Linked DNA regions of Macaca fascicularis. The protein of the gene in region 1 purifies or fractionates together with the protein of each later gene. This does not show direct contact. Links are inferred from orthologs where the notes say so. Each region holds a gene or a part of one and is shown in the gene's direction. Other genes may lie near its edges. The genes, in order: HNRNPC, NCBP1, HNRNPR, CRNKL1, SF3A1, TOP1 and U2AF2.

Region 1 (3,897 bases):
AAATAGGGAAGCTAATGCAGTTAAAATATTGTTGTGCCACATGACTTTGTGTATTCAAAATAATGGAAGAGGCCAGCTGTGTGGTGGCTCATGCCTGTAATCCCACCACTTTGGGAGGCCCAGCAGGCGGATCACCTGAGGTCGGGAGTTCGAGACCAGCCTGTCCAACATGGAGGAACCCCATCTCTACTGAAAATACAAAAAATTAGCCAGGGATGGTGGTGCATGCATGTTATCCTAGCTAATTGGGAGGCTGAGGCAGGAGAATCGCTTTTACCTAGGAGGCAGAGGTTGCAGTGAGCCGAGATTGTGCCATTGCATTCCAGCCTGGGTGATAAGAGCGAACTCCATCTCAAGAAAAATAATTTTAAAAATCCAAAATAATGGAGGAGACGAGATTGTGACTGAGTGGCCAATTCTAGACTGCAACAGCTAGGTGATTTGAAAGATGTCATTTGACTTTATTTAGTTGAGGTGTGTGTTAAGTTTCTGAGGGTTTTTTTGTGGGTTATTTAAAAACTAAAATTCAGATAGTGTTCAATATATTGATTTTTAAACTTTTCTGTATTGAACTCCTGTAACTGGAAATATGGAAGGCAGTAAAACAACAGAAGGTCTGATGCAGTGACTTACGCCTGTAGCCCCAGATGCTTAGGGGGAGGCTAAGACCCTGGGGATCTAGGCTGTGGTGGGAGGATTGCATGAGGCCAGGAGTTCACTGTGATCATACCTGTGAATAGTCACTGCACTCAGAACTGGGCAATGTAGCGATAACCCAAGTCTAAAAGATACTAAAAAAAAAAAAATTACAGTAAGTAGTTATAAGCTTTATAGTAGAACCAAGGGCCTTTATTACAGGGAAATCTGTACTGGCTCTGTTTCTCCCTGGGTGCTCCTGATGTAGTCTAGTGCCAGTGTATTTGCTAACTCATATCTTCTGTACATTTGATTTTAATCCATTATTTTGTTTATGTTAAAGTGAAAGGAGATGACCTTCAGGCCATTAAGAAGGAGTTGACCCAGATAAAACAAAAAGTGGATTCTCTCCTGGAAAACCTGGAAAAAATTGAAAAGGAACAGAGCAAACAAGCAGGTAAATGGGTTTTCTGCTTGTTGGGTATATAGTTGGGTTAGTTACGTAAGGCACTTTAAAGTATATGTTGGAATAGTGGAATATAAAGCAATGTAATATGAAACTTGGGGAGTGTGAATTGGGAAGGGTATTTGTGTGGGAGGATTTAGATTTGTGCTGCAGTTCTGTGATCCTTAGTGGGGATTGTCTACATCCTGTGGACATTACTGCCCCTAGACAGACTTGTCCTTCTCATCCCCAGTAGAGATGAAGAACGATAAGTCAGAAGAGGAGCAGAGCAGCAGCTCCGTGAAGAAAGATGAGACTAATGTGAAGATGGAGTCTGAGGGGGGTGCAGATGACTCTGCTGAGGAGGGGGACCTACTGGATGATGATGATAATGAAGATCGGGGGGATGACCAGGTGAAAACCACGGGAAAGGAAAGAAAAAGGTGGTGGAGGGGGGCTCAGGGACACATGGAGTGCCTCTAACTCCATCCTATTTGTGTCTGTTTCTCACAGCTGGAGTTGATCAAGGATGATGAAAAAGAGGCTGAGGAAGGAGAGGATGACAGAGACAGCGCCAATGGCGAGGATGACTCTTAAGCACATAGTGGGGTTTAGAAATCTTATCCCATTATTTCTTTACCTAGGCGCTTGTCTAAGATCAAATTTTTCACCAGATCCTCTCCCCTAGTATCTTCAGCACATGCTCACTGTTCTCCCCATCCTTGTCCTTCCCATGTTCATTAATTCATATTGCCCCGCGCCTAGTCCCATTTTCACTTCCTTTGACGCTCCTAGTAGTTTTGTTAAGTCTTACCCTGTAATTTTTGCTTTTAATTTTGATACCTCTTTATGACTTAACAATAAAAAGGATGTATGGTTTTTATCAACTGTCTCCAAAATAATCTCTTGTTATGCAGGGAGTACAGTTCTTTTCATTCATACATAAGTTCAGTAGTTGCTTCCCTAACTGCAAAGGCAATCTCATTTAGTTGAGTAGCTTCTGAAAGCAGCTTTGAGTTAGAAGTATGTGTGTTACACCCCCACATTAGTGTGCTGTGTGGGGCAGTTCAACACAAATGTAACAATGTATTTTTGTGAATGAGAGTTGGCATGTCAAATGCATCCTCTAGAAAAATAATTAGTGTTATAGTCTTAAGATTTGTTTTCTAAAGTTGATACTGTGGGTTATTTTTGTGAACAGCCTGATGTTTGGGACCTTTTTTCCTCAAAATAAACAAGTCCTTATTAAACCAGGAATTTGGAGAAAAAAAACCCTGGTTTTTTATTTTTGTATTTTATTATTGTTTACTTCAAACTTTGTTTTACAGCGTCCTCCACAAAACCTCTAGAATGTACTAGATACATTTTTCTTGGAGTCATAATCATGATACATACCAACACAACACTACTCAAATTATATTTCATTGAGTTGCATGTTGCATTGAGGAGTCAAATAACTTGACATACAGTGGCGATTGTTTTTCAAAATGGCTTTTACATCCTAATGAAAGTTCAGTGCTTTGTGGTCCAACTGGCACCCTTTTTGAGGTTTTTGTTGTGTGCTAAATTGCTTTGTCCTTAAATAGGAGAGACTCAAAAACAAGATTTCAGGAAAATTGCAACAGCTGGACAATGGAACTCCCTGCTTTCTTCTGTTTTGTTCTTTTAATTACTATTTATAGCCTCAGTTACCTTCTGAATTCTGAAGTGTATATCTCCATGTTACTGAAAACGAGAAAACTCTTATTTCCTGATACTCCACAGTCTTGCCTTCCCAGGTGATTGAGAACATAAAGAATGTTACATTTATTTTACCCTAAATGATCTTTTACCCCTATTAGCTGATCTTTGTGTTTTCCCTCAACTTTATTAATTACAGTTATTGTATTTTTAGCATCCAGTCTTACTTAAAATGAATATATTAAACAGCTACCAGTGTTGTGATACCTCATCCTTGAAAGGCTTAATTGATTTGTGTTTTAAACTTCAGTTTTTCCAGCACAGCAGAAAATGGCGTTTATAATTTTTGTGCACACAAACCTTGGATTCCCCTATAAAGTTGCTATTGTTTCATAGCATGCAGCACTGGCCTTTTTTCATCCTACTCATTACAGGCGAAACTCATGTCTTATTTATAAGGATTTTATAGATCATTTTCTATATCAGGTGACAAAAGCAGAAAAGAATGAAGAGGCTGAACTATGAACTACCCTTGGAGCCCATATACATGATATAGGCAATTTCTTTTGTATGTTAATTCAGTCAAAAATACTACCCACTTGATGTTTTCTGATCTGATGTGAGCTCATGTTACATAGACTTTTAGTAAGTAACCCATGACTAGAAAATAAACTGGATGCTTAGGAGAGAGTGTCAGATGTATAAGATGCTAATAAAACATGTTTAATATTATGTTGTTAGCTGTAAGTTTTTGGGAAATACTGGAAAAATTAGTCCACAATCAAGTGTCTACTTTTCACTTCACTGTAGGGCCTCTTTCCCCGCACAGAGCAGTCTATTTAGCTGTGAATACCACAATCTGCAGATGCTCAAGTCCCTTACATAAAATGGCATAGTATTTGTATGTAACCTATGCATATTCTCCTGTATACTTTAAATCATCTCTACATTAAAATACCTGATAAAATGTAAATGGTATGTAAATAGTTGTAACTACTTTTATTTGTATTGTTACTTTTTAATTTTTTTTTCTTTACTAGTATTTTCGATCTATAGTTGGCTGAATCTGCATGTGTAAAACCCACGAACACGGAGGGCCAACTATACATTTAATTCTGTAGGAAAGCAGATATTGA
Region 2 (3,897 bases), on another chromosome or scaffold:
AAATCAGTGACGGTCTTTTATTGTTTATTAGAACTAAAAAACATTACACAAATATCTGTGTATAGATGTGAGCGTACCATCTATTTAGCATTTGAGGTAAGGCACCAAGGGATTGCTGTACTTACATTTTTCTATTTTATTATAAAATATTTTTCAGATGAAGGATTCAGTTTTAACCCATTGAAAATAGAAGTCTTTGTACAGACTCTGCTACACTTGGCAGCCAAATCATTCAGCCACTCCTTCAGTGCTCTTGCAAAGTATGTATGAGTACAGAGCCTTTCTTGAGGGTTTGGAACTTTGCTTCATGAACACCAGTGGTATAGTAATTTTTACCTAAGATTGTTGAATATGAAGATCTTAATAATGTATAATTGGATACAGTGGGTTTGGGTTTGTGGTAGCTAAAATCTGTATCCTAAGGCTTCCATCAGTCTGTTTGTACAGTTGGCATATGTACATGGTAAGCGCTTTTTTTCATATAGACATTTAAAGTAGTGAAAAACCTAGATTTTTAGGACAGTCATATGCAGTTGGAAGTTCCCACGCTAAGTATCTTTGCCAAGCAATGTAAGAAGAAATTAGAATCAGCTACATTGTTGGGAGCCACCCAAAGGTTGACATCTAAAGACAGATATTTTTAACTTGTTAGACAGGGTCCAAAGGAAGAAAGAGCACATAGATTTTCCTCCAACCAAGCAGAGAAACTGAACATCTCACCCCATCTCTGCCTCCAAGGCTTTATGTTACTTGCAGGGTTCCCACAGAAGATGCAGTTTGAATATTCCACCATGTTTGAAGACAGTTCCTTAGTCCTTACCTATTCTTATAAACTGTAGCCCTGGGCTAACGGTAGTATATTGTAAATGTCTTGAGATTTTGTGACAGCTTCCTTAAAAACTATGAATCTCTAATCACACTTTTTGCATCCTTAATGGTTAATACTTACAGTTATTTTGCATTTGCATATTGCATTATAAATTGAGTAACATTGAAAAGGCTTTGAAAACACTGAAATGTTTAACGAATAAGTATATATGATATTTTTTTCCCACCATTATCAAAAGGTTTCATGAAGTCTTCAAAACCCTAGCTGAAAGTGATGAAGGGAAGTTACATGTGCTAAGAGTTATGTTTGAGGTCTGGAGGAACCATCCACAGGTAAAAATTATTTAATTAGACATGTTGAAGCTCTGATTATATAGGTATAAAAATAAGGCCGTTAATTACTACTGTTTTGTTTGTAAAACATGAAATTTGACTCTGCCTAGATAATGGTTTTTAGATCTAATTCTTTCAGTGCTATGGGAGTAATGATGTTTGATTCATTCTTGAAAGAGCAAGCATTATTGTGATTTGGTTTTGAACTATAATATCTCAACATATTTTAAATGTTCAGCAAGAAGTTTATCTAGTCTATCCAATTTCTAAATACAAGCTCCAGATTTCTCAAACCTTGATATATATTGTGTATTACAAAGAAACATTTAAATAAATTTCATAAAACAGTTGAGTTTTTAATGATAAAACATTGTTTTACATTTAACTTCTGAGGTTCCTCGAAATTATATATTTTTTTGAATAGGTATTAGTAACTGAAATTTAAATTTTTTTTTTTTTTTGGAGACAGAGTCTCACTCTGTCACCCAGGCTGGAGTACAGTGGTGTGATCTTGGCTCACTGCAACCTCTGCCTCCCGGGTTCAAGTGATTGCCCTGCCTCAGCCTCCCGAGTAGCTGGGATTACAGGCATCCACCACCACATCTGGCTAATTTTTGTATTTTTAGTAGAGATGGGGTTTCACCGTGTTGGCCAGGCTGGTCTTGAACTCCTGACCTCAGGTGATCTACCCGCCTCGGCCTCCCAAAGTGCTGGATTACAGGTGTGAGCCACCATGCCTGGCCAGTTTTTTCAAATTTTAACTGTTACCATTCAGAGTTTTTGTTTAGTCAACCTGTTTCTTGTAGTGCTAGAGCAAAGCAAAGGGAAGAATAAATCTTAAGATCTAATGATCAGGCAGGGCGCGGTGGCTCTTACCGGTAATCCCAGTGCTTTGGGAAGCTGAGGTGAGTGGATCACTTGAAGCCAGGTGTTTGAGACCAGCCTAGGCCACAGAGTGAAACCCTGTCTATACTAAAATAACAAAAATTAGCCGGGCATGGTGGTGCACACCTGTAATCTCAGCTACTCAGGAGGTTGAGGCAGGAGAATTGCTTGAACCTAGGAGGTGGAGGTTGCAGTGAGCCGAGATCGTGCCCCTCCACTCCAGCCTGGGTGACAGAACAAGACTCTGTCTCCAAAAAAAAAAGACCTAATGGTCAAATTGATCAATCAGTTCTACAGCCATCAAAACTAGATTTTATAGCCCTAGCCCTCCTATTTTACTTTTATGGTAGCAGTGTCGTGGCACATATACGTGTGTATGTGTGTGTGTGATTTACTTGAATAATTCTTCTCTCATTGTAGATGATTGCTGTACTAGTGGATAAGATGATTCGTACACAAATAGTTGATTGTGCTGCAGTAGCAAATTGGATCTTCTCTTCAGAACTGTCTCGTGACTTTACCAGGTAATATGAATTATTTTATGAAACTTGTGTTCTCTAAGAATTGATATATGTGTGGTCTCTTATACATAAGCTTCAAATTCTGGTCCAAACCAGGTTGATATTAATATACTGTGATCCAGTCTGGTCGGATTGGACATGGCAAAAATTCCTAGACAGTGGAAACATACACAGCCTGCATCTCTTAGCAGGGGCTCTTAGCAGGGACTCTCTTAAGTTGCAGCATCTCTTAGCAGGGACTCTCTTAAGTTGAATCAAGACTAAGCTAGTGAAGTAGAAGTCCTGTTGAAGGATCCAGACTGTTGGGAGAGAAAACTAGCAAGAGCCAGCTATGTGCAGAGTCTCAGCTAGTCCAGATGGAAATCAGGAAGTGTTCCAGCTTCTGTGGGGATGGCACCTGGAATGCACACCAGGAAGTAGGAGAAACCAAAGTCAAAGTAGATTAAATCATGGAGGTATCTGGGAAGGCTTGGTGATTACCAAGACGCCTGAGGGATGGGGGAAAAGGGGTTGTCACCACAGTCATAATCTTAGGTTTAATGCAGAAGACTCATTCTGCACTCATTCCCCCTAAAGGAAAGAGTTTTTGCTGTTTGGTTCTTATTTGTGAAGTTCACAGACTTTACAGTTGATAGGACCAGGACAGCAGGAGTTGACACAAAGCAGGAAACTAAAGCAAATTACTTGTAAAAACATAAAAATCCATCACAACCTTTAACTTTTCCACTGTATCTGTTATTGCCAGAGGACACTGATCTGAAATATACTGAATTGTTAGGGTGATAAGGTATGATCTAAGGTTGTCATACCAGCCAGGTTGGCCTTCACAAATAAAGACAACAGAAGGACATTTTCAGATTTGTAAACTCCAGAAAACTAACCACCCGAGTATGTGTTAACCGTTGTCCTGAGTGATTTACATTTTCAGTTCATTTTATCCTTACCGCATCACCATAGAGGAGGTTCCATTATTGTCCACATTTTACAGAATAGGGAAGTGTCACAGAGTGCTTTAGCCTGCCCAAAGTCACACAACTAAACACAGAGCCAGCATTCAAACCAGGCATTCTGGAATCTGTGTAGTGCTCAGCAGCTCCATCTGTTCTTTTAACACCTAGCTCAAATATTTGTAACTCTGCAAACCTTTCCCTGACTACAGTCCACCCCCTTCAGAGTTAAAGTGCTCTGCTCTTTTGTCCTGTTTCGTAACATTCTAGACTTGGAGTTTTATGAACAGATTGTTTTATTATCTTCCACTTAAACTATTATTTGGGTCAAAATTTGTAGAAGGAAGTACAGTTGACCCTTGAACAACATCAGGGGTTAGAGA
Region 3 (4,376 bases), on another chromosome or scaffold:
GAATTTGGAAAACTCGAAAGAGTAAAGAAGTTGAAAGATTATGCATTTGTTCATTTTGAAGACAGAGGAGCAGCTGTTAAGGTAGAAATTTTGAAATTTTGGTTCTTGATATTTGAATTTTGTTTCTGAAACCTGCCAAACACGTAAAGTAATGTTAAAAACTGAAGTAAAATTGACTGTTAGCTTTTGCTGAACTCTTTCTATTTAATCTCTGTTAAGTGGTAATAGTATAACAGATAAGACTCCATATTTCAAAGCCAGATTATTACTGAATTTGTGATCTTAGGCAAGTTATTTTTAATCTCTATTGTTTTGTAAGATTTGATAGCATGATGCCTTGGAAGTATTACAAGGTATAAAAATTAGCTGCTGTAAACACTAAATAGGTAATGAATATATTATAACTACTTAGTTTACCTCAGTTTGTGTACCTATGAAGGAAACTGAGTGGTGTACATGACTCATACAGTATTTGAGTAGATGTATTGTGATGAGGGTATGATTAGTTTTACCTTTATTTAATCATTTTAGAGTTAAAATAGCATTCACTATGTTTTACTGATTTCAGTAATTGTTAGAGATAACTCTTGTGTATAATAGTTGATTTAGTCTTTGATGATAATAAGTATGAAGAAAGTATTTTCATATGGTATTTGGAACACAAAACCTGCTTTCTATTGACAGTGGGTTCGGACTATCTTTAATGGGTGAAATTTTCAGTTTCTTTTTCTTGTTCATCTCTCCTTCCTTGAGGGGATGGGAAGCAAGACAAAACACTACTAAAATCTTTTTTATGTTACTGGGAAGATAGATCCAGAATGCTTAGTGACACAGGCATGGTTCTTTTTTGGCATGTTTGGTTGGTGGGATACTACCGCCTCTAATTTGAGCATTTTTTGGTTTTGTTTTTTGCCCAGGGTGCTGCTTTTAAAACAGGCTTTCTAGAATCTCTGACTCGTTTATAGTTAATCGGCTTGCTCATTGATGATAGCTAATTAATGAGGCAGTATTGTTCATAAAATTCATAACTTGTCCAAGATCACAAACTCAGTAATAATCTGGCTTTGAAGTATGGAATCTTATCTGTTATACTGTTACACTCTTATCTGTTAATGTGTGGCGTCTGAAATTTTTACTGGTATAGAATGCAGATAACTAATAATTTTATGCTTTCCAAATATTCCTCCTGACTCAACTGGTTTTAAATAACTGGTTGTCCTGATGGAAAATATTTATAGGATGGTTTGCCAAGGAAGCCTATTAAATTATAAAATATCTAGTCCAGGAACTGGGAGTCACCAGGATGGTCGGGGCAGAGAGTAGATGTTTCATTTTTTAATTTATGCCAGGAAGCTTTTGTAAACTTGTTTAGTTGCTTTTACTGAAGCAGTACAGGGAAAATTGCAATCTTGAGGACTAGTTTCATTTTTGTCTAGATACTTATAAATCACTAATAGCTCGTTATAAATAGAACATTTTTTTATGTGTGCCCAGAGTGGGGAGAAAGGTATAGGGAAACAAAAAATAAAATATGAGGAGGTGACATTTTGTTACTGAGTACCTGAACCTTTTGATGTATGGCAGAGGTTGTTGGGTGGAACAACATGAACAAAGGGCTAGAACATGGAATGTTTGATTACTGCTTTCTACGTAATTGCTTGAGTCTTCATTAGTCCAGGCCTTTTCTGGCTCTGTACTTTAAACTGTTCAAGCAAAATACATTTCGAGTTAAGCATTGTGAGGGAAACCTAGGTTTTTTTGTGTTGGTATCTTGAATTTTACAGATAATCTCACTCTGTAACCTCATTTGTGCTTCAGATCCTTGAAATTTTTGTATAAGAACAGTGTAAGACCTGTATGTTGTATGCTACATGTTTATTTAAAAATTCTAATCCTGAAAAGTTAATCTTTGGTTCGTATTAATATTGGCATTTTTCCCTGGTATGGATTTGCTTCTTTGGTGTGGATTTGCTTCTTAGGTATGGCTTATCTTTTAAGGAGTTAGTTATTTGGAATTAAGGAGCAGCAATAGGTGGCAGCCCTTTTACCTTTTAAAATACAGTATCAGGAGGTAGGTTTTGTTCTAAATGTCATTTACATATAAAAAGATAAGGTCTAGGGAAACGTATTTTCTTTGTGTTTGTGTTTAACTTTCTGGCTAGATTCACCTTTTGGCCATTTAAAATAATTGTGCAGTAAATTATTAAGTATATTAAATGAGTCAAGTATGATAGCATGCACACTATATAAAACATATAGTTTTATATCATAAAATAAATTAATTTTTCAATTTTTTATAGGCTATGGATGAAATGAATGGCAAAGAAATAGAAGGGGAAGAAATTGAAATAGTCTTAGCCAAGCCACCAGACAAGAAAAGGAAAGAGCGCCAAGCTGCTAGACAGGCCTCCAGAAGCACTGCGTGAGTCTACCTTTTAGTAGATATGTCTTTGGACAAGGAATCTCCATTTGATAATGGAGATTGGATTAATAAAACACAATCAGAGTCTTGAAGCAAACTGATTTGTTTTTTCTTTTCTCCCTTCCCTCCTTTGCTAGGTATGAAGATTATTACTACCACCCTCCTCCTCGAATGCCACCTCCAATTAGAGGTCGGGGTCGTGGTGGGGGGAGAGGTGGATATGGCTACCCTCCAGATTACTATGGCTATGAAGATTACTATGATGATTACTATGGTTATGATTATCACGACTATCGTGGAGGCTATGAAGATCCCTACTACGGCTATGATGATGGCTATGCAGTAAGAGGAAGAGGAGGAGGAAGGGGAGGGCGAGGTGCTCCACCACCACCAAGGGGGAGGGGAGCACCACCTCCAAGAGGTAGAGCTGGCTATTCACAGAGGGGGGCACCTTTGGGACCACCAAGAGGCTCTAGGGGTGGCAGAGGGGGTCCTGCTCAACAGCAGAGAGGCCGTGGTTCCCGTGGATCTCGGGGCAATCGTGGGGGCAATGTAGGAGGCAAGAGAAAGGCAGATGGGTACAACCAACCTGATTCCAAGCGTCGTCAGACCAACAACCAACAGAACTGGGGTTCCCAACCCATCGCTCAGCAGCCGCTTCAGCAAGGTGGTGACTATTCTGGTAACTATGGTTACAATAATGACAACCAGGAATTTTATCAGGATACTTATGGGCAACAGTGGAAGTAGACAAGTAAGGGCTTGAAAATGATACTGGCAAGATACGATTGGCTCTAGATCTACATTCTTCAAAAAAAAAAATTGGCTTAACTGTTTCATCTTTAAGTAGCATTTTGCTGCCATTTGTATTGGGCTGAAGAAATCACTATTGTGTATATACTCAAGTCTTTTTATTTTTCCTCTTTTCATAAATGCTCTTGGACATTATTGGGCTTGCAGAGTTCCCTTATTCTGGGGATTACAATGCTTTTATGGTTTCAGGCTTCATTTTAGCTTCAAAACAAGCTGGGCACACTGTTAAATCATGATTTTGCAGAACCTTTGGTTTTGGACAGTTTCATTTTTTTGGATTTGGGATAGATTACATAGGAGTATGGAGTATGCTGTAAATAAAAATACAAGCTAGTGCTTTGTCTTAGTAGTTTTAAGAAATTAAAGCAAACAAATTTAAGTTTTCTTGTATTGAAAATAACCTATGATTGTATGTTTTGCATTCCTAGAAGTAGGTTAACTGTGTTTTTAAATTGTTATAACTTCACACCTTTTTGAAATCTGCCCTACAAAATTTGTTTGGCTTAAACGTCAAAAGCCGTGACAATTTGTTCTTTGATGTGATTGTATTTCCAATTTCTTGTTCATGTAAGATTTCAATAAAACTAAAAAATCTATTCAAAACATTACCTATTTCAAATTCAATTGTGTCCTAAAACATTATTTTATTCGTAATCCTTGCAAGGAATATTGTTTTCAAAGTATAACTGCCTATGTGAGTGATCAAATTCATGCAAAATTTCTTGTCTATTCCAACATGTATTGTGGATATTAGACTGAGGATTAGTCTAAATTCAAGTATTTATTCCAATTAGCACTTCATTGATTGGTGTTCTCTCATAGTCTCTTCTAATTTTGAAATTTTATCTTTTATTTAAAAAAAAAACAGGTTCATAGACTTTTGAGCATTCTTGCAGGCATTGGATAATTTGTGTTAAAACAAATAAAATGTGGCTGGGAAAGCAGACTGCAATCTATTTTGACCCACATTCTTTATAAGGGATAATTTGTGACTGAAGACCTTATTTGCTGGATAAGTGAATGTACATACAGGGAAAACTGTTAGTACTGTGGCGTCAATTGCACTGCGGACTTTAGTTTTAGTAAACGTGATTGTGACTACCATTTCAGTTACTGGTTTAGGAATATAATTTCCTATTAC
Region 4 (4,355 bases), on another chromosome or scaffold:
GGTTAATAAAGAGTTATGGCAAAAATACTGATGTTGGTTATAACTGCAGTTCTAGAAATCTGCATCAATCTTTTTTTGAAAGCAATAGCTGCATTGGTAGACGTGATATTACTACATACACAATATATATTTTCCCCAAAAACCAAAAGAGCCTTGCAACTATGAAAATTATTCTAACAAATGTGCTGCCAAGTCGTGTCATTGTACATTTGTCCAAACTCATAGAATGTACAGCACCAAGAGTGAACCCCAACATGAACTACGAACTTTGAGTGATAATGATGTGTCAATGTAGGTTCATGATTGTAACAAATGTACCGCTCTGGTGGAGGATATTTTTGAGAGTTGGAGGCTGTTAAAGTGGGGAAGAGGTATAATAATTGATGGCAGGAAGCTGTTGAGGGGGGAAATCTCTGTGCCTTCCACTTAATTTTGTTGTGAACCTAAAACTTCTCTAAAAATTTGTCTATTAAAAAAATTCTTTTAACTTTTGCTTAATTTTTCCGTTTTTGAGGGCAGGTTAAGTATTATAATAGCTACATTTACTGAGCATTTGTCTTTAATCCTAGTGAAACAGATGGTATTACCCTTGTTTTATAGTTGAGGACACTGAGGCTAAGAAAATTTGAGTAATTAAGGCACACACAGAATTTAAACATATTTCTTATCACAAGACTGAGTTGTTTTCTAGTTACTCTATTTTTTACTTTCATTTTGTCCTAATATCTGGCTTCTAAGTACCTTCTGTTATTTTTAATTCCAAGCCTTAGAGTTAATTATTTGGGCACAACTGTCCAGAAACCAGAAACGAGGGGGCGTGGACCCAGAGACTACAAGACCTAGAATGCAATGCAGAGCCAGACAGCCTAAAAGGGCGGCAGCTCGCCCCTTCGCATACTGGGAATGGTAGTTTCCTCGCTCTCCCTTCGTTCCCCCGCCCCTCGAGCATCCAGATTGGAGCTTCGACCCTACTCCCTTGCAGGGCGCCACGGCTAGACAGAGCCTCTCTTCCTTGCCTGGTCATCCCAGTTCTGGAGGCTGACCTGGGGATACGCCCTTGACGCCCTGAATCGCAGTCCTCGCGTCGCTGCTAGTCAGGCCGGCGCTACCCACCTCACGCGCAGCTCCAGGACGCCGCACTCCGCGCGCTGCTGTAAGGAGGACGCGCAGCCTGGTCCCCATGGAAACGGTGCCACGTCCGTCACGGCGCATGCGAGAGGTCAAAGGTCAGCCTGGCGAGTTCCGCTTCCGATTCCGGGATCCTGTTTGTTGTCGGAAATCTTTGTGGTTTCGGTGAGCTCTCAGACCGCGGATTTCTAGCTTTCGTGCGGGGGACAGGTGCCCCGAGGTCCGCTGCTGCAGACATGGCGGCCTCCACCGCGGCCGGGAAACAGCGGATTCCCAAAGTGGCCAAGGTAGGCGATCGCGAGGGGCCTTGTGGGAGGTGGCCCAGGAGAGGGGCATCCCTCAGCCCTGGGGGTGCCCCGGGCGGGAGACAGTGTTCCCGCCGGGGAGAGGGCCCACCCTGAGAGATGGAGAGGAAGGGTCAGCTGGTGGTGGGGCGCGGGCTCTTGTCATCGCGGAGCACGATGGGGTGGTTTTGCAGGGAGGAGGAGTGGAGTGGTTCAGTGAAGATTTACTGACCCAGGCACTGCACTGGGCGCTGGGAAGCTACGCTCGGACGCTGGCCAGAAGCAGTACTCAAAACACGAGTGTGTGTATGAGGACGATCTTGCCAGATGTTACTGAGAGGCAAAGTAGAATATGCCATGGGCGTGAATAAGGGGGTCGTATGAAGGGTTCCTGAGAGTAAATTTTGCTGAGGAAATGACCTTTAAGCTGAGACTTGAAGACTGAATAGGAGTTAGCCCAGCTGACAGCGGAGGGTGAGAATAGACGGCAGTAGTAGTATAGTATCATAAGTTAATTAAACAGTAGATTTACTAACTGGTATTTCCCTCGATAGCTGATACTTACGAAGTGCTTAATATGTGTCAGAATTTGTCTGAAGCCTTTACAGATATCCTCCCTCCAGTCTTTCTTGAGCCCAGATGACTCTCTTGAACTGGACCTTTACGTAACTATTTGTCTGACTCGCAAAAGTAATGCATGTAGAGCAAGTAACAGTGTGTCTGGCACTTAGTGCTTATTAAATATGAGCTATCACCATTATCATTACTCCACACGTGGCATTAAATAACAATTTTTATAATTCAGCTACGTACACTTTTATTGGGCATCACCGGTCCAATGGAAATACAGTGCACAGCACATGAAATTTTAAATTTTCTCCTATCTACATTAAAAAGTAAAAGCAAAGCAAAAAAAGTGACATTAATTTTGATAATATATATTTTATTTGAACTAATGTATCCAAAATATTATAATTTCAACATGTAATCGGTATAAAAACTGTGAGATAGTTTGTTCTTTTTTTCATACTTCATCTTCAAAACCAGTGTGTATTTTACATTTACAGTCCACCTCAATTTGTGCTCACCACATGTGACTCATAGCTACTGTGTTGGACAGCACAGCTCTAAGCTACGTTAGACTGTAAACTTCTAAGACCTCAAGAAACTTACAGTCTAATGATGGGAACTTATTGAATAGTGCCTTTGACTTGAGGTTCCGTGAAAAACCATACCCACTTTTCCACCAGGGGCATTAAATAAGTTGAAGAATTCTGCGAATGCAGGTGGTAATGCTATTAATAAGATGTGCTACACATCTTGATAAACCCTCTGGTCAGAATTTTACCTACACAGCCTCAAAGTTTATTATTATACTCATCTAAAAGGGAAAACTTGGTATTATTTTTGCCACCTTTTTCTCTTGAGACTTTTACCTGTGGCTTTGTAGTAGATACCATGAATAAGAGAGAAAACATAGTATTTTTTTTTCTTTTTAGTCTCATGGAGGATGGGAACATGTCATACAAAGAGAGCATCTTGTGATAATACTAATGAAGTTCATATCCTAAAAAATGTATGTTTGTTTCTTAAACCTTGTGTGAAGAGCATCTACTAAAAATAGAAATGTCTTGTTCTTAAAAGGTGAAAAACAAAGCCCCGGCTGAGGTACAGATAACTGCTGAACAACTCTTAAGAGAGGCTAAAGAAAGAGAACTTGAGCTTCTTCCACCTCCACCTCAACAGAAGATCACAGATGAAGAAGAATTAAATGATTATAAACTAAGGAAAAGGAAGGTCAGTCAGTGTGGTATCTTTCAGTCCACTAATTGTTAAGAGTGTATCAGTCAGAGTTTGAAAAGCTGGTTGGATTCTGTAGGGCAAGATGAGGTTAGTGTTCCTAGACACATGAATAATGCCTTCTGGTTACCAGATAACAGCATTTTTCTGAACTATATAAAATATGCCTTGAGTTGTCTGGTTAAAGTATAAAACAATTGAATCTGCATAATTTTTGGTACTGAATCAAAAATGGGTGGAAGTTTAGCAGGTGAAACAACGGACAACTGGAAGGGGGTATGCTTAGTAAGGCTGGACTGTGTACTTCTGTCTATACCACCTTCTGTGTTAAGAAATGAGATCTGGCCGGGCACTGTGGCTCATGCCTGTAATCCCAGCACTTTGGGAGGCCAAGGTGGGCTGATCACCTGAGGTCAGGAGTTTGAGACCAGCCTGACCAAAATGGTGAAACCTCATCTTTACTAAAAATACAAAAATTAGCCGGGCGTGGTGGCAAGTGCCTGTAATCCTAGCTATTCAGGAGGCTGACATGAGAATCGTAGGAACTCAGGACGCAGAGTCTGCAGTGAGCCGAGATCATGCCACTGCACTCCGACCTGGGCGACAGAGCGAGACTTTGTCTCAAAGAAAAAAGAGAAGAAAGGAAAAGGAATTGAGATCTGCAAAAGGACTATGAGAAGACTTTGGGATCTGATTTGACCTCTTCACTCTAGAATGTGGGACTGTTTTAAAGCATGAATTCTGTTATATATGAAATTCTGAACGTTACCAGAGGACTTACGGGTAATAGTCAAAATATTTTTTATTAGGGACAAGCATAGACTATTTCAAAGTATCAGTTAGTTGATTGTAACCTTCTGTAGTGGATTTCTTATTCCTCAAGGATTCCAGGATGTAATTTCTCTTAAATATGAACAAAATGAATAACCAGTTTAGTACAAGACTTAAAATAGACCAAGGGTGCTGTCATTTTTAGTCATTTGCCCTTTGACTTGACCCTTTTTGCCTTCTTCCAGACTTTTGAAGATAACATAAGAAAAAACAGGACTGTAATTAGTAACTGGATAAAATACGCACAATGGGAAGAAAGCCTAAAGGAGATTCAGAGGTAAAATTGCTGAAAGTGTAGTTTTGTGTATAATG
Region 5 (3,000 bases), on another chromosome or scaffold:
CCCCAGTCTTTCACACTTGGGCTTAGTTCCAGGAGCATTGTGGCTTTGCTTTCACTTGCAGGTGACCTGGGATGGCCACTCAGGCAGCATGGCCCGGACCCAGCAGGCTGCCCAGGCCAACATCACCCTCCAGGAGCAGATTGAGGCCATTCACAAAGCCAAAGGCCTGGTGCCAGAGGATGACACCAAAGAGAAGATTGGCCCCAGCAAGCCCAATGAAATCCCTCAACAGCCACCGCCACCATCTTCAGCCACCAACATCCCCAGCTCGGCCCCACCCATCACTTCAGTGCCCCGACCACCCACAGTAAGCCAGCATCTACCCTGCAGCTGACTTTTTAGAGCTTTGTTCTTGAGGTCGGACAGTGTTGGCTGAGACGGGCAACTGCCTTACAGTGTGGGGTGGGTCAGTTTGAAAGAGAAAGAGCCCTTTAAATGCAAGTGGGAACCTCTAGCTTAATCTGTTTGTGGAGGAGGGTTGGAACAAGGAGGGAGGTGAGAGGCAAATGTGAGAAACCAGTTAGCGTCAGAGAAGGGCTGCAGGGCTTATTGGGTCTGTGAGGACTGCTGGCCTGTCTCCAGGAGATTTAGTCGAGGTCTCAGCTCCTCTCCCTATTTTTTTTTTTTTTTTTTTTTTCTGAGACAGAGCTTCGCTCTTGTCGCCCAGGCTGGAGTGCAGTGGCACGATCTCGGCTCACCGCAACCTCCGTCTCCCGAGTTCAAGTGATTCTCCTGCCTCAGCCTCCCAAGTAGCTGGGATTACAGGCATGCGTCACCACGCCCAGCTAATTTTGTATTTTTAGTAGAGACAGGGTTTCTCCATGTTGATCAGACTGGTCTCGAACTCCTGACCTCCGGTGATTCGCCCACCTCAGCCTCCCAAACTGCTGAGATTGTAGGCATGAGCCACTGTGCCCAGCCAAGGTCTCAGCCTCTTTAGTGACTCTTTCAGTGATTGCCAAAGTAGCTGGTCGAATTTGACCTGCCAAGTCCCAAGCAGAGAGAATGTCATTCTCAGGCTCTCAGTAGCTCAGTTCCTGTTGGACGCCCAGTGTGAGGCCACAGTTTCTCAGTCCCAGGGGGCCAGGACGGAGCTGTCTAACCTTCATCCTCAGAGCTGCAGGCGGCCAGTTGCCAACTGTGTGTGCCCTTGGAGTCCAACTTTGGCTTCCTGTAACTTGTGGGTCTCTTTCCTGCACAGATGCCACCTCCAGTTCGTACTACAGTTGTCTCTGCAGTACCTGTCATGCCCCGGCCCCCAATGGCATCTGTGGTTCGGCTGCCCCCAGGCTCAGTGATCGCCCCCATGCCGCCCATCATCCACGCGCCCAGAATCAACGTGGTGCCCATGCCTCCCTCGGCCCCTCCTATCATGGCCCCCCGCCCACCCCCTATGATTGTGCCAACAGGTCAGTATCTCTTGCATCACTTTCCAGGCCATTAGGTCAGGGACCACAGGCCAAGTACTGTCAACAGAGCTGTGGCTGATGCTAGTGCGAGCTGTTCCAGCAGGGTGTCCAGCCCAGAGGAGAGGCCCTGGCTTCCTGTGTGAAAGATCCGCAACCCTAGAGCTGGGAGCTACCATTCCTGGTAGAAATGGGAGGCTAAAATGATGTAGCCGGTGTCTGCATTCAGGGATCAGGTCCCTAACAGGCTCAGAGGCCTGAGAGTTGCTTGTTGCCTGGCACTAGCTCCATCCGTCAGTCCTGCCCCTCCTGCAGTCCTCTGCTATCCAATCTGGGCAGCCTCCCAGGTCCCCCTGCTGGGGAACCTGCTGGCTGCCAGACTCATCAGGGAACAGCACTTCACACCTCTGACTAGAGGAAACCTTTGCAACCTCCTCTCTCAACTTCTCATCAGCCCTGAGTCCTGGGCCCATTCTGCCCTCTCATGGGGCTGCTTATTCTTATCTTTGCAGCCTTTGTGCCTGCTCCACCTGTGGCACCTGTCCCAGCTCCAGCCCCAATGCCCCCTGTTCATCCCCCACCTCCCATGGAAGATGAGCCTACCTCCAAAAAACTGAAGACAGAAGACAGCCTCATGCCAGAGGAGGAGTTCCTGCGCAGAAACAAGGTATGTGATCCCAGAATGCTGCTCAAGTTTCTAGCTGGAGGGTTCAGCCTCGCCCCTGTCGTACACTTCCCAGACTGACCCTATTTTACTCCCAGTCTTGGCTTCTGGGGCGTAGGTCAGCCGCTGGAGGCATCTAAGGGCTTCTGAGCACACCGTGAATGTGGGGTCAAAAATTAGAGGAGCAGAGAGCATTGGTGGTGATGGTGATGGTGGTGGTGGTGATGGTGGTGGTGGCAGAGGTGGTAACTGTGGTGGTCCCTCTGGTGTAGACTTAACAGGCCAACAGGGAGACCCAGCTGCACGGACAGCACAACTCAGGTGTGAGAGGGACCCTAGACCCCTGGAGGAAATTGTGTGTGGTGTTTTAAAATTTACTGTGGCCTTCCTCCCCAGCTCTAGCCCTTAGGAGGTCTGCCTGTTGGGTGGGATCCTGTTGGGGTCCTGCAATAAGGGGAGGTGGGGACCTTGTCACTGCCAGTCCCTAGAGAAGCTGTCAGGCTGCAGTGAGGATACAGAAACAGCCCCAGCTTCTGCTCCCCCAATGTCTTTGACCAAATTGTTTGTTTGTTTGTTTTTCCCCCGCAACCTCTGCCTCCCGGGTTCAAGTGATTCTTATAACTCAGCCTCCTGAGTAGCTGGGATTACAGGTGTGCATCACACACCCAGCTACTTTTTGTATTTTTAGTATTTTAGTAGAGAGGGGATTTTGCCACGTTGGCCAGGCTTGTCACCTGGCCATAAGTGATCCGCCATCTTGGCCTCCCAAAGTGCTGGGATTACAGGCGTGAGCCACCGCGCCCACCCTGTTTGTTTTTTAATAATAGTTCCCATTTCTTAAATGCTTAACTCAAGTACCAGGAAAGAGCTAAGTACTTTACAGATACTTCCACTCAATACTCAAAACAGTCATTAATCCTCTCTGATGGA
Region 6 (4,340 bases), on another chromosome or scaffold:
CCATGTTGTCCAGGCTGGTCTTGAACTCCTGGGTTCAAGTGATCTGCCAGCCTCAGCCTCCCAAAGTGCTAAGATTACAAGTGTGAGACACGACCCCCGGCCAGCGTATTGTATTAATCCAAGCAAGAGAACGCGGACTTCAAAGGCTTATGGGCGGCAGAGAGAAGTAGATGGAGTGAAGAGAAGTAATCAGCGGGACTGGTGGGAAATGAGGGAAAGGAAGGTGTCAGGATGGGGCTTTTTCTAGCTAAGTAGAGTTGAGTTCATCCCCAGAGAAGCTTGAGAGGCATCCAACTATAGATGCAAGGTAGGTGGTTGTTGGTGCCTTGTCTTTAAGACAGTTTGCCTTTTGTAAAACAGGCGACCTCACAGAGCTATTGTTCAGAATTCAGAGCTGGTCACAGAATAGATGCTCTATAAAAGGTAGTTCTATTCCCCATTTGCTCCGTCCTCCCAGCATGCTAGGGATACAGCCGCGGATAGAGACAGGTTCAGTTCCCTTTGGTCTCTTGCATTCCTCCTCCCCTCAGCACAATTCCTGGGCTCATAGCAGATGCTTAGTAAGTATTTGTAGAATGAACCAAAGAAATCAGACCCTTGGTGACCCAGGGCTACATGTACTCGGCGGAAAACTGGGGCTAAACCGGACCCTTGGTTGGTTGAAAAATTAAAATAATTTTTAACAAGTGGGCGTGAAATACTCCAGAAGTTGGAGGGCTTGGACAAAGGCTGGGGAGGGGACTCCTCCCACCAGGCAGCCTCAGGGCCGGCTTAGCAAGAAAGGAGGCGCCGGGGAGACCTCTGGGGTCCCAGCTGCCAAGGTACTCGCTGCTCCAAATAGATGGGAACGCGGGACACCAGCTCGCCCAAGATCGCCTGGGTCCCGCCGCGGCCTTTAAAGGCCCACCACGTGGCTGCGCGGCCAGCCCTGGCCCGGAGGCGGTGCCCGGGTGGCGCCTGCGCACTGCCTAGCAGAGGGGTCGGGGTTCCGAGAAAAGGCGTCGAGAGAGGAAGGGGAGGCTGCTTGGGGTGGGACGCCGTGGGAGGAGTCGGCTCCTTATGCAAATCACAGCGGCGCGCGCACGGTCCGGAGGCGGGGCTTGCGATGCGAAGCCGGGTCCGTCAGGCGAACCGTGAGGGGGCGGGCCGCAACCCTCGGCCTCTTTCCGCGATCGCTGACGTCGTCGACGTGTTGTTTAAAAGCGACCGCGCAGGCGCAGTGAGCCCAAATGCGAACTTAGGCTGTTACACAACTGGTGGGGTCTGTTCTCGCCGCCCGCCCGGCAGTCAGGCAGCGTCGCCGCCGTGGTAGCAGCCTCAGCCGTTTCTGGAGTCTCGGGCCCACAGTCACCGCCGCTTACCTGCGCCTCCTCGAGGCTCCGGGGTCCCCGTCCGCCCGCACAGGCCGGTTCGCCGTCTGCGTCTCCCCCACGCCGCCTAGCCTGCCGCCGCGCTCGTCGCTCCGGGCCGACATGAGTGGGGACCACCTCCACAACGATTCCCAGGTACGGCCCGGCCTGACCCCGGCAGCCCTGGACCCCAGCCTGGCCGTCCCGCGACCCCCGGCGCAGGCCCCTACCCCAGCCCCGGCCCGGCCGCTTTGACAGGCCGGGGCCCCCGGCGAGGTGCCGCCCGCCGGAGTAGATCGGCTCGCTAGGCCGCGAACAAGGGCCGCGAAGTTACAGTGCGAGGGGGGATGGTTGCCCTCCGTGGCTACCCCCGGGACCCCGTCCTCCCTGGGGGCGCAGGGTGGGCCAGACCCCCAGCCGCGCGCGCTCGCCGCCAGAGGGGTTAAAGTGGCTGTTGTTTGATATTCTCTCCTTTTCTTTTTCCAGATCGAAGCGGATTTCCGATTGAATGGTGAGTGTGCCCCCTGCCCCGACCCCGGGGCCCCCCAGCCGCCGGCCGCCTCCCCCGCGCCCTGCCGGTGCCGGGCAGAGGACAGACATGGCGTCCCAGAGACTAAGTCCCGGCTCCTCGCTCACCGGCCCCATTGTTCCCATCGGGCCGCCTCTTGACCCCCTTTCCGGGGACCCCAGCTCCCCCAGATCCCGGCCCTCCCAAGAGGGGGCAACGGAGACCCGGTGTCGTCCGCCACCCGGCCTCGGGCGGTCTTTCCGGGCCGGGATTCCTCCCGGGAAAGTCGCCTTGTCGACGGTCGGGACTTAGTCTCTGCGCCATTTTCTTTTTCTCTCTCCTCTCCTTTCTGTGCCTGTGTCTCTTTCTCTCCCTCCCTCGGCTCCTTCCTTGAGCTGCCCAGAACGAGATTTCTGCAGAGCAAAGCTATATAAATCACATACTTCACCAGAGAGGGAAGGATGGGGGACTGAATTATTATTTTTTAAACTTTATTTTGGGGGTTATTCCCTTTCTGCTTCATGTTTGTTTCCTTTTTTGCTTCCAGAATGAAAGATTTCCTTAGGCAACTGTTAATTTTTTTTTTTCAATAGGATGTTTATGATAGGAATTATGGCTCTAAAACTAAAGTCACCGTTTGTGGAGTTCTTTACGTTTCCAGGTTGTTTTTTCCCAAGTTACGTTCTTTGCAAAGGTAGCAGTACCTCACTAAAGAAAGTTTGCAAGTTCTCTGTGGGTCACCCAATGTAAATGTTGGATTTTTAAAAAATTAAACTGTTAGTGACTGGAACTTTTCATTGTGGCTGAGGTTCCCAATGCAGTGTTTTTTTGGAAACGCAGTTTAGTTTGTACTTGTTGGAAGGAAAGATTGTTGAGCATCTCTTGTGGACCTGGTGTGGTGGCCTTTTCGTTTGGGCTGTAGGGAGGAAAAAAGGATTTTATTTATTGAAACAAAGAGTGTCCAGCACCCACCCCTGCTTCCTGTTCATTCTTTTTCACGAGCCACTGTTTTTCAGGAATCAAGAACTAGCTTGTTTTTTCCAATTCTTTATGTTTTTGAACCCTTTTCAGTCAAATCAAGGCATTTATTCTTTGTGTATTTCCACTTCAGTTACCCAGGGAAGATTCCTCCAATAAAAAACTCATCCTTGCAGGCTTTCAAACAACCCTGTTGAAGGAGAAGGTACCTTCTGTAGTGTGCTGGGAATTCCCACTGATTTTGATGGTGCATAATCCTGCTCAATTGAGTCTGGGTTCCGGGAACCTCTCCAATGGGAGAAGCTGATGAGTAGGTTTTCTAGTGTTGTAATCAGCAGTCCATCATGTTAGCCTGCTCTACTGAGAGCAACCTTATGTTCAGAGTTTGAAGTGGGGCATCCAGCAGGAGAGAATCTGGTTTAAAGTATGGCATTTCTTGAGCACCAGTTATGTGCCAACCACTGTGCTTAGTGTAGAGCTGATCCTGTAACCACAACACTCCTTTGCTCTCAATTCAGTCTATTGGGGGAGACATTATTAGTTAATTATAAGGTAATTACTGGGGCATATGTGTACCCAAAATGCTTTGAAGTATAGGGGACTTAATTTTATCTGAAGATGGGGAAATTTCTCAGAGGTGACTTCTGAGCTGAGGGTTGTGGAAGACTGGACGCAGAGAATTGTCGGGTTGGAGTGTTTCTTAAGTACATTTAACCAACCTATCACGATTTTAAAAGAGGGAGGAGGTGAGGCCTGCAGTTTAGAAAACCACAGTATAGACGTGTTTCTTTGGGATACAGGGGCAAAGAAAGGATGTGCAGGTGAGGCTGTAAGAAGTCCTTTTGACTTCGCTAGAGGAAGGTGGGATCTTAATATAGAATGTATTCTTTTGGCTGTCAGGCTGGGCTGAGTAGGTAATGTAAGTAATGAAACAAAGTTTAGCCCTTTCTTCTTGTGAGAAAGTTAACTTACATGGTTCTCACCTAAGTCACGTGAATGATTGTGAGCTGGTTAGGTTATTGATCTTTACTGACATATTTATAGAGGCTGAAGTAATCTGCCTATGTTGACTTTTAGAAGTGTTGGCTCACATTTAATAGCAATAATAGCTATTATTTATTGAATACTTACTGCCAGGCGTGAATCTCAGCTCTTTCCATGGGTCATCTAATTAGATGTAATCCTTGGAAGGACCATCGTGAGTTAGGTCCTATTATTTCTATTTTGTAGATGAGGGAACTCAGGCTTCAGTGTATTTACTAGCTTGCCCAAGGGCCGTGAGTTGACCACTCTAAATCCCATGAGCTGAGCCACTATGCTGAAGTGATACTGTATGATACTAGCATGAAAAAATAAAAAGCCGCAAATCTCTGTTTTCTTACAGAGCTGAAAAAGGAGAGAGGGAAGGAAGGATTTGATAATTTGTCATTTGCTTTTTATCTAAACATGCTTCTTCAAAAGAAAAAGCGCTTTGACTGTCTCCCTGCCACCATAAAGGTCTGACA
Region 7 (3,897 bases), on another chromosome or scaffold:
GTGTCTCCTGGGACGTGGAGGAGGTGGGGTTCTGCTGGCCAATACTCACTGTTGGAGGAGCCCTTTAGAAACCGAGTCAGCTCTTCAGGGAGGCAATGTGGGGCCCCAGATGGAGGCACATCTGTGTCAGGCAGAACTTGGGCTGGGTCCCTCACTGGCCTCCAGTGCTTTTCTTGTTGTTGTTGCTGTTGTTTTTTGAGACGGAGTCTCACTCTGTTGCCCAGGCTGGAGTGCAGTGGCACCATCTCGTCTCAGTGCAAGCTCCGCCTCCAGGGTTCAAGCAATTCTCCTGCCTCAGCCTCCCGAGCAGCTGGGATTACAGGCACCTGCCACCATGCTCGGCTAATTTTTGTACTCTTAGTAGAGGTGGGTTTTCACCATGTTGATCAGGTTGGTCTCGAACGCCTGACTTCAGGTGATCCACTCACCTCAGCCTCCCAAAGTGTTGGTATTACAGGCAGGAGCCGCGGCGCTCAGCCCAGTGCTTTTCCACCATGACTTTTGGTAAATTCAGCTAACCTTTTAGAGCCTGTGATGTATGTTGACATGCTCCAATCTGAATGGACTTTTTACATATGGGTGCGTTTCCCCGATCAAGCTACAGAATCTCTTCCCCACATCTCTTCCTGGTGACTCCACTGTGTTTTCGTTCATTTTAAATCCTGTGAGTGGCCCGCCACTTGCTGGTGCTTACTGTGTGTCGGGCACCGTCCTAAGTGCACTCCACGGATGACATTCCTACGATACAGGGATGGCAAGTTACGATTGAGAGGCCAACTTTGACCCACTGCCTGTTTGTTTGTTTGTTTTGAGACGGAGTCTTGCTCTGTTGCCCTGGCGGGAATGCAGTGGTGCGATCTCAGCTCACTGCAACCTCCGCCTTCCAGGTTCAAGCGATTCTCCTGCCTCAGCCTCCCGAGTAGCTGGGATTATAGGCATGTACCACCATGCCTGCTAATTTTTTGTGTTTTTAGTAGAGACGGGGTTTCACCATGTTGGCCAGGCTGGTCTTGAACTCCTGACTTTGTGATCCACCCGCCTCAGCCTCCCAAAGTGTTGGGATTACAGGCGTGAGCCACTGCGCCCGGCCACTGCCTGTTTTTTTGTAAGTAAAGATTGGTTGCGGCACAGCTAGCCTCGTCGTGCAGTGCCTGCTTCCGGGGTAGGGACGTGGTGGGCCTTGGGGAATAGGAACGGTGGGTTATGGATCTAAGGTTGTTTCTCTTACCGGGCTGAGGGGCTTGACTCTTCTGAAGGTGATGGGGTGCTCTGGCAGGGGCTGAGCTGAGGGCGACCCAGTGATAGCAGTGGCTGCCGAGCTCCTTTCAGGCGTCCCCTGGGCCGAGATGGCCTGGTCACCATGGGAGGGGACATTCCTCCATCTTACAGATGAGAAAGAGCTTTAGGACAGTGGGAATCCCTGCTGGGTCTTCCCCATACCATCTTTGCTCCAGGTGTGATGCTTGATAGATGCAGCCGCTGAAGAGGTATGGGGCCCTGTTTCCCCGCCCGACTCTTGCAACATCCTTGCCAAGTAGGGCTCGTCCTCCTCAGTGATGAGTGTAGGAACTTGAGGCTCCGAGAAGATTCCTTTGAAGTAGTTGTCATGTAACAGCGGCTGACCCCACTGACAGTGCTCACAGTGTGTGTCTGGGCTGGGCTAGCCCTGTTGTGGGCATTGAGTCTCACAGATGCCCGGGCCACGGTGACGGCCATGCCTGTTTTCACGTCCTCTATTGAATCAGCACTTGGCCCGAGCTGTTCTCACACACGTGGCTCGCACGACAGACGCCAGTATTCTTCCCATTCTACAGATGAAGACACTGAGGCCCTTGGAGCCTCATACGGTACAAACATGACTTGAACTCAAGGAGCCATGTACCCAGAGAGCCCAACTCTTGCACCCTTGGCCCTGTGTTGCTCAAGTGAGACGTGTAGAGCCCGGGCTCGAGGCCGAGCTTCCAGTGTGACCCAGGCACAGCCTGCAGCCTGCCGTGCTGCCTGTGGAGAGTCACAGCTGAGTGTGGGCTCTGGAGGCTGTCTTTGTCCTGCCTCTGTGGCTGTGCTCTGTGCCTCAGTTACTGCCTTCTGTGCTGTAACAGCATTGCAGTAGGAGACTTGAAAGTCTGACAGGATGCCTGGCCCTTGGGGTGAGTGCTTGGTGTGTGTTCCTGCTCCCGGGCTGCTGCTACTTGTCGCTGTAGCATAGGAGACCGGTCTCCTGGGGTCTTCGGGGCCCCAGTCTGGTGTTTGGAGCCGGCTGGGTTGGTGCTTCCAGTTCTCTGGTGGCGGCGTCATCATGGGCTGAAGGGGCTTGAGCAGGTAGGAGAGGGTGCGTGGGGGCGTCTCCCTCTTCCCATGGGCACAGCGGCTCAGCTTCTGAGGGTCCTTCCCATGTCTTGTCTTACCTGTTCCTTTCCAGCATCAGGATGGAGGTGGGATGGGGCCACTCACACCTGGTGTGGGGGCTGCAGAGGAAGGGGAGGCCACATGGCCTAGGCTTTGAACTTGGGAGTCAGGCTGGTTGGTTACCGGGTCCTGGCATAGCTGGTATCTGACAGGACGGCGTCAGGATACATTGGCAGAGCCTGTGAATCATCCCACCAGCAGGCACTTGTCTGTGAGTCCAGAGTTCAGCGGCTAGGGCAGGATCAAGGGCCAATCAATTCAGCTGATAAGCCCCCACCCTGGTATGTCAGCCCTCGAAGACATTGGATCCTGCATCCCACAGTCAGCCCCGAGTTCCCAGTGAGATCAGAGCGGCTAATGCTGCGGATGCTGCTCTGAGACTTGCTGAGCAGCCTCAGCTCCTCATTGTGCCTTGCCACCCGTGAGGGCAGGGGCGCCCCTGCAGTGGCACCTGAGCAGCCTCGGCTCCTCGTCGTGTCATGCCACCCATGAGGGCAGGGGCGCCCCTGCAGTGGCACCTGTTGTTCTGGCAGGGTGTGAAGGGAGGAACTGAGCTTTTTTTTTTTTTGAGACGGAGTCTTGCTCTGTTGCCCAGGCTGGAGTGCAGTGGAGTGATCTCAGCTCACTGCAGCCTCCGCCTCCTGGGTTCAAGCGATTCTCCTGCCTCAGCCTCCCGAGTAGCTGGGATTACAGGGTCCCACCACTACGCCCAGGTAATTTTTGTGTTTCTAGTAGAGATGGGGTTTCACCATGTTGGCCAGGATGGTCTTATCTCTTGACCTTGTGATCCACCCGCCTTGGCCTCCCAGAGTGCTGAGATTATAGGCGTGAGCCCCCCATGCCCGGCCGGGGATAAGCTTTAATGGGAGCCTTGCCTGGGTGGCTGTCAGAGAAGGGGTGGAGTGTGTTGGGACTCAGCAGTAGGTCCCGAGCCCAGGTGAGCTGCCAGCATTCCACAGCAGCAGGTGGCAGATGTGGGTGTGAACTTTGTGCCTTCGGAGCGTTCTGGAGGATGTTCTAGTTTGAGGTTCCCTTGAGGCTGGGCAGATTTGGGAGACAAGGTGCGTTCTCCCCAGGGAGCCTCTGTGCCACTGCCCAGGACCCTCCCTCGTCAAATCAGGCTGGGGTGGGATGGGCATGTGGCGGCCCCTCCCTCGTCAGATCAGGCAGGAAGTGTTCTTTTTGGCGATGGAGGAGCTTGCCATAGGCTGTCCAGGTGTTTGAGAAGATAACCTGGTACTGGAATTGAAGTTCTTCTCTCCTCTGCCCATAGGGGTTGTGTCCACTGTGGTCCCTGACTCTGCCCACAAGCTGTTCATCGGGGGCTTACCCAACTACCTGAACGATGACCAGGTAACCTCCGTGCCTCCCTCCAGTCCCGTGCCCCCCCGGCCCCATCTCAGCCCAGCCCTGATAGACTCTCGGCCGCTGCAGGTCAAAGAGCTGCTGACATCCTTTGGGCCCCTCAAGGCCTTCAACCTGGTCAAG

What was found.
Region 2: the proteins of HNRNPC (region 1) and NCBP1 purify together in Homo sapiens (co-immunoprecipitation; 3 studies listed by BioGRID and IntAct, with this or other methods). This does not show direct contact. The link is inferred for Macaca fascicularis from reciprocal best matches to the Homo sapiens genes HNRNPC and NCBP1.
Region 3: the proteins of HNRNPC (region 1) and HNRNPR purify together in Homo sapiens (affinity purification with mass spectrometry; 3 studies listed by BioGRID and IntAct, with this or other methods). This does not show direct contact. The link is inferred for Macaca fascicularis from reciprocal best matches to the Homo sapiens genes HNRNPC and HNRNPR.
Region 4: the proteins of HNRNPC (region 1) and CRNKL1 purify together in Homo sapiens (co-immunoprecipitation; 3 studies listed by BioGRID and IntAct, with this or other methods). This does not show direct contact. The link is inferred for Macaca fascicularis from reciprocal best matches to the Homo sapiens genes HNRNPC and CRNKL1.
Region 5: the proteins of HNRNPC (region 1) and SF3A1 fractionate together in Homo sapiens (co-fractionation; 3 studies listed by BioGRID and IntAct, with this or other methods). This does not show direct contact. The link is inferred for Macaca fascicularis from reciprocal best matches to the Homo sapiens genes HNRNPC and SF3A1.
Region 6: the proteins of HNRNPC (region 1) and TOP1 purify together in Homo sapiens (affinity purification with mass spectrometry; 3 studies listed by BioGRID and IntAct, with this or other methods). This does not show direct contact. The link is inferred for Macaca fascicularis from reciprocal best matches to the Homo sapiens genes HNRNPC and TOP1.
Region 7: the proteins of HNRNPC (region 1) and U2AF2 fractionate together in Homo sapiens (co-fractionation; 3 studies listed by BioGRID, with this or other methods). This does not show direct contact. The link is inferred for Macaca fascicularis from reciprocal best matches to the Homo sapiens genes HNRNPC and U2AF2.

What each region holds. Positions count from the first base shown.
Region 1 is NC_088381.1:88,872,754-88,876,650, reverse strand, and holds the end of HNRNPC (heterogeneous nuclear ribonucleoproteins C1/C2), read left to right. Parts: intron 1-979; coding exon 980-1,093; intron 1,094-1,334; coding exon 1,335-1,495; intron 1,496-1,594; coding exon 1,595-1,678; 3' UTR 1,679-3,493; downstream 3,494-3,897. UniProt on the Homo sapiens protein: Binds pre-mRNA and nucleates the assembly of 40S hnRNP particles. Interacts with poly-U tracts in the 3'-UTR or 5'-UTR of mRNA and modulates the stability and the level of translation of bound mRNA molecules. Single HNRNPC tetramers bind 230-240 nucleotides.
Region 2 is NC_088389.1:60,461,277-60,465,173, reverse strand, and holds part of NCBP1 (nuclear cap-binding protein subunit 1), read left to right. Parts: intron 1-157; coding exon 158-260; intron 261-1,067; coding exon 1,068-1,161; intron 1,162-2,466; coding exon 2,467-2,570; intron 2,571-3,897. UniProt on the Homo sapiens protein: Component of the cap-binding complex (CBC), which binds cotranscriptionally to the 5'-cap of pre-mRNAs and is involved in various processes such as pre-mRNA splicing, translation regulation, nonsense-mediated mRNA decay, RNA-mediated gene silencing (RNAi) by microRNAs (miRNAs) and mRNA export.
Region 3 is NC_088375.1:211,810,493-211,814,868, forward strand, and holds the end of HNRNPR (heterogeneous nuclear ribonucleoprotein R), read left to right. Parts: coding exon 1-81; intron 82-2,300; coding exon 2,301-2,422; intron 2,423-2,559; coding exon 2,560-3,172; 3' UTR 3,173-3,840; downstream 3,841-4,376. UniProt on the Homo sapiens protein: Component of ribonucleosomes, which are complexes of at least 20 other different heterogeneous nuclear ribonucleoproteins (hnRNP). hnRNP play an important role in processing of precursor mRNA in the nucleus.
Region 4 is NC_088384.1:67,252,936-67,257,290, forward strand, and holds the start of CRNKL1 (crooked neck-like protein 1), read left to right. Parts: upstream 1-1,250; 5' UTR 1,251-1,364; coding exon 1,365-1,415; intron 1,416-3,056; coding exon 3,057-3,209; intron 3,210-4,228; coding exon 4,229-4,320; intron 4,321-4,355. UniProt on the Homo sapiens protein: Involved in pre-mRNA splicing process. As a component of the minor spliceosome, involved in the splicing of U12-type introns in pre-mRNAs.
Region 5 is NC_088384.1:21,328,775-21,331,774, forward strand, and holds part of SF3A1 (splicing factor 3A subunit 1), read left to right. Parts: intron 1-61; coding exon 62-307; intron 308-1,201; coding exon 1,202-1,409; intron 1,410-1,918; coding exon 1,919-2,073; intron 2,074-3,000. UniProt on the Homo sapiens protein: Component of the 17S U2 SnRNP complex of the spliceosome, a large ribonucleoprotein complex that removes introns from transcribed pre-mRNAs.
Region 6 is NC_088384.1:97,136,253-97,140,592, forward strand, and holds the start of TOP1 (DNA topoisomerase 1), read left to right. Parts: upstream 1-1,227; 5' UTR 1,228-1,472; coding exon 1,473-1,505; intron 1,506-1,835; coding exon 1,836-1,860; intron 1,861-4,340. UniProt on the Homo sapiens protein: Releases the supercoiling and torsional tension of DNA introduced during the DNA replication and transcription by transiently cleaving and rejoining one strand of the DNA duplex.
Region 7 is NC_088393.1:63,619,697-63,623,593, forward strand, and holds part of U2AF2 (splicing factor U2AF 65 kDa subunit), read left to right. Parts: intron 1-3,682; coding exon 3,683-3,897. UniProt on the Homo sapiens protein: Plays a role in pre-mRNA splicing and 3'-end processing. By recruiting PRPF19 and the PRP19C/Prp19 complex/NTC/Nineteen complex to the RNA polymerase II C-terminal domain (CTD), and thereby pre-mRNA, may couple transcription to splicing.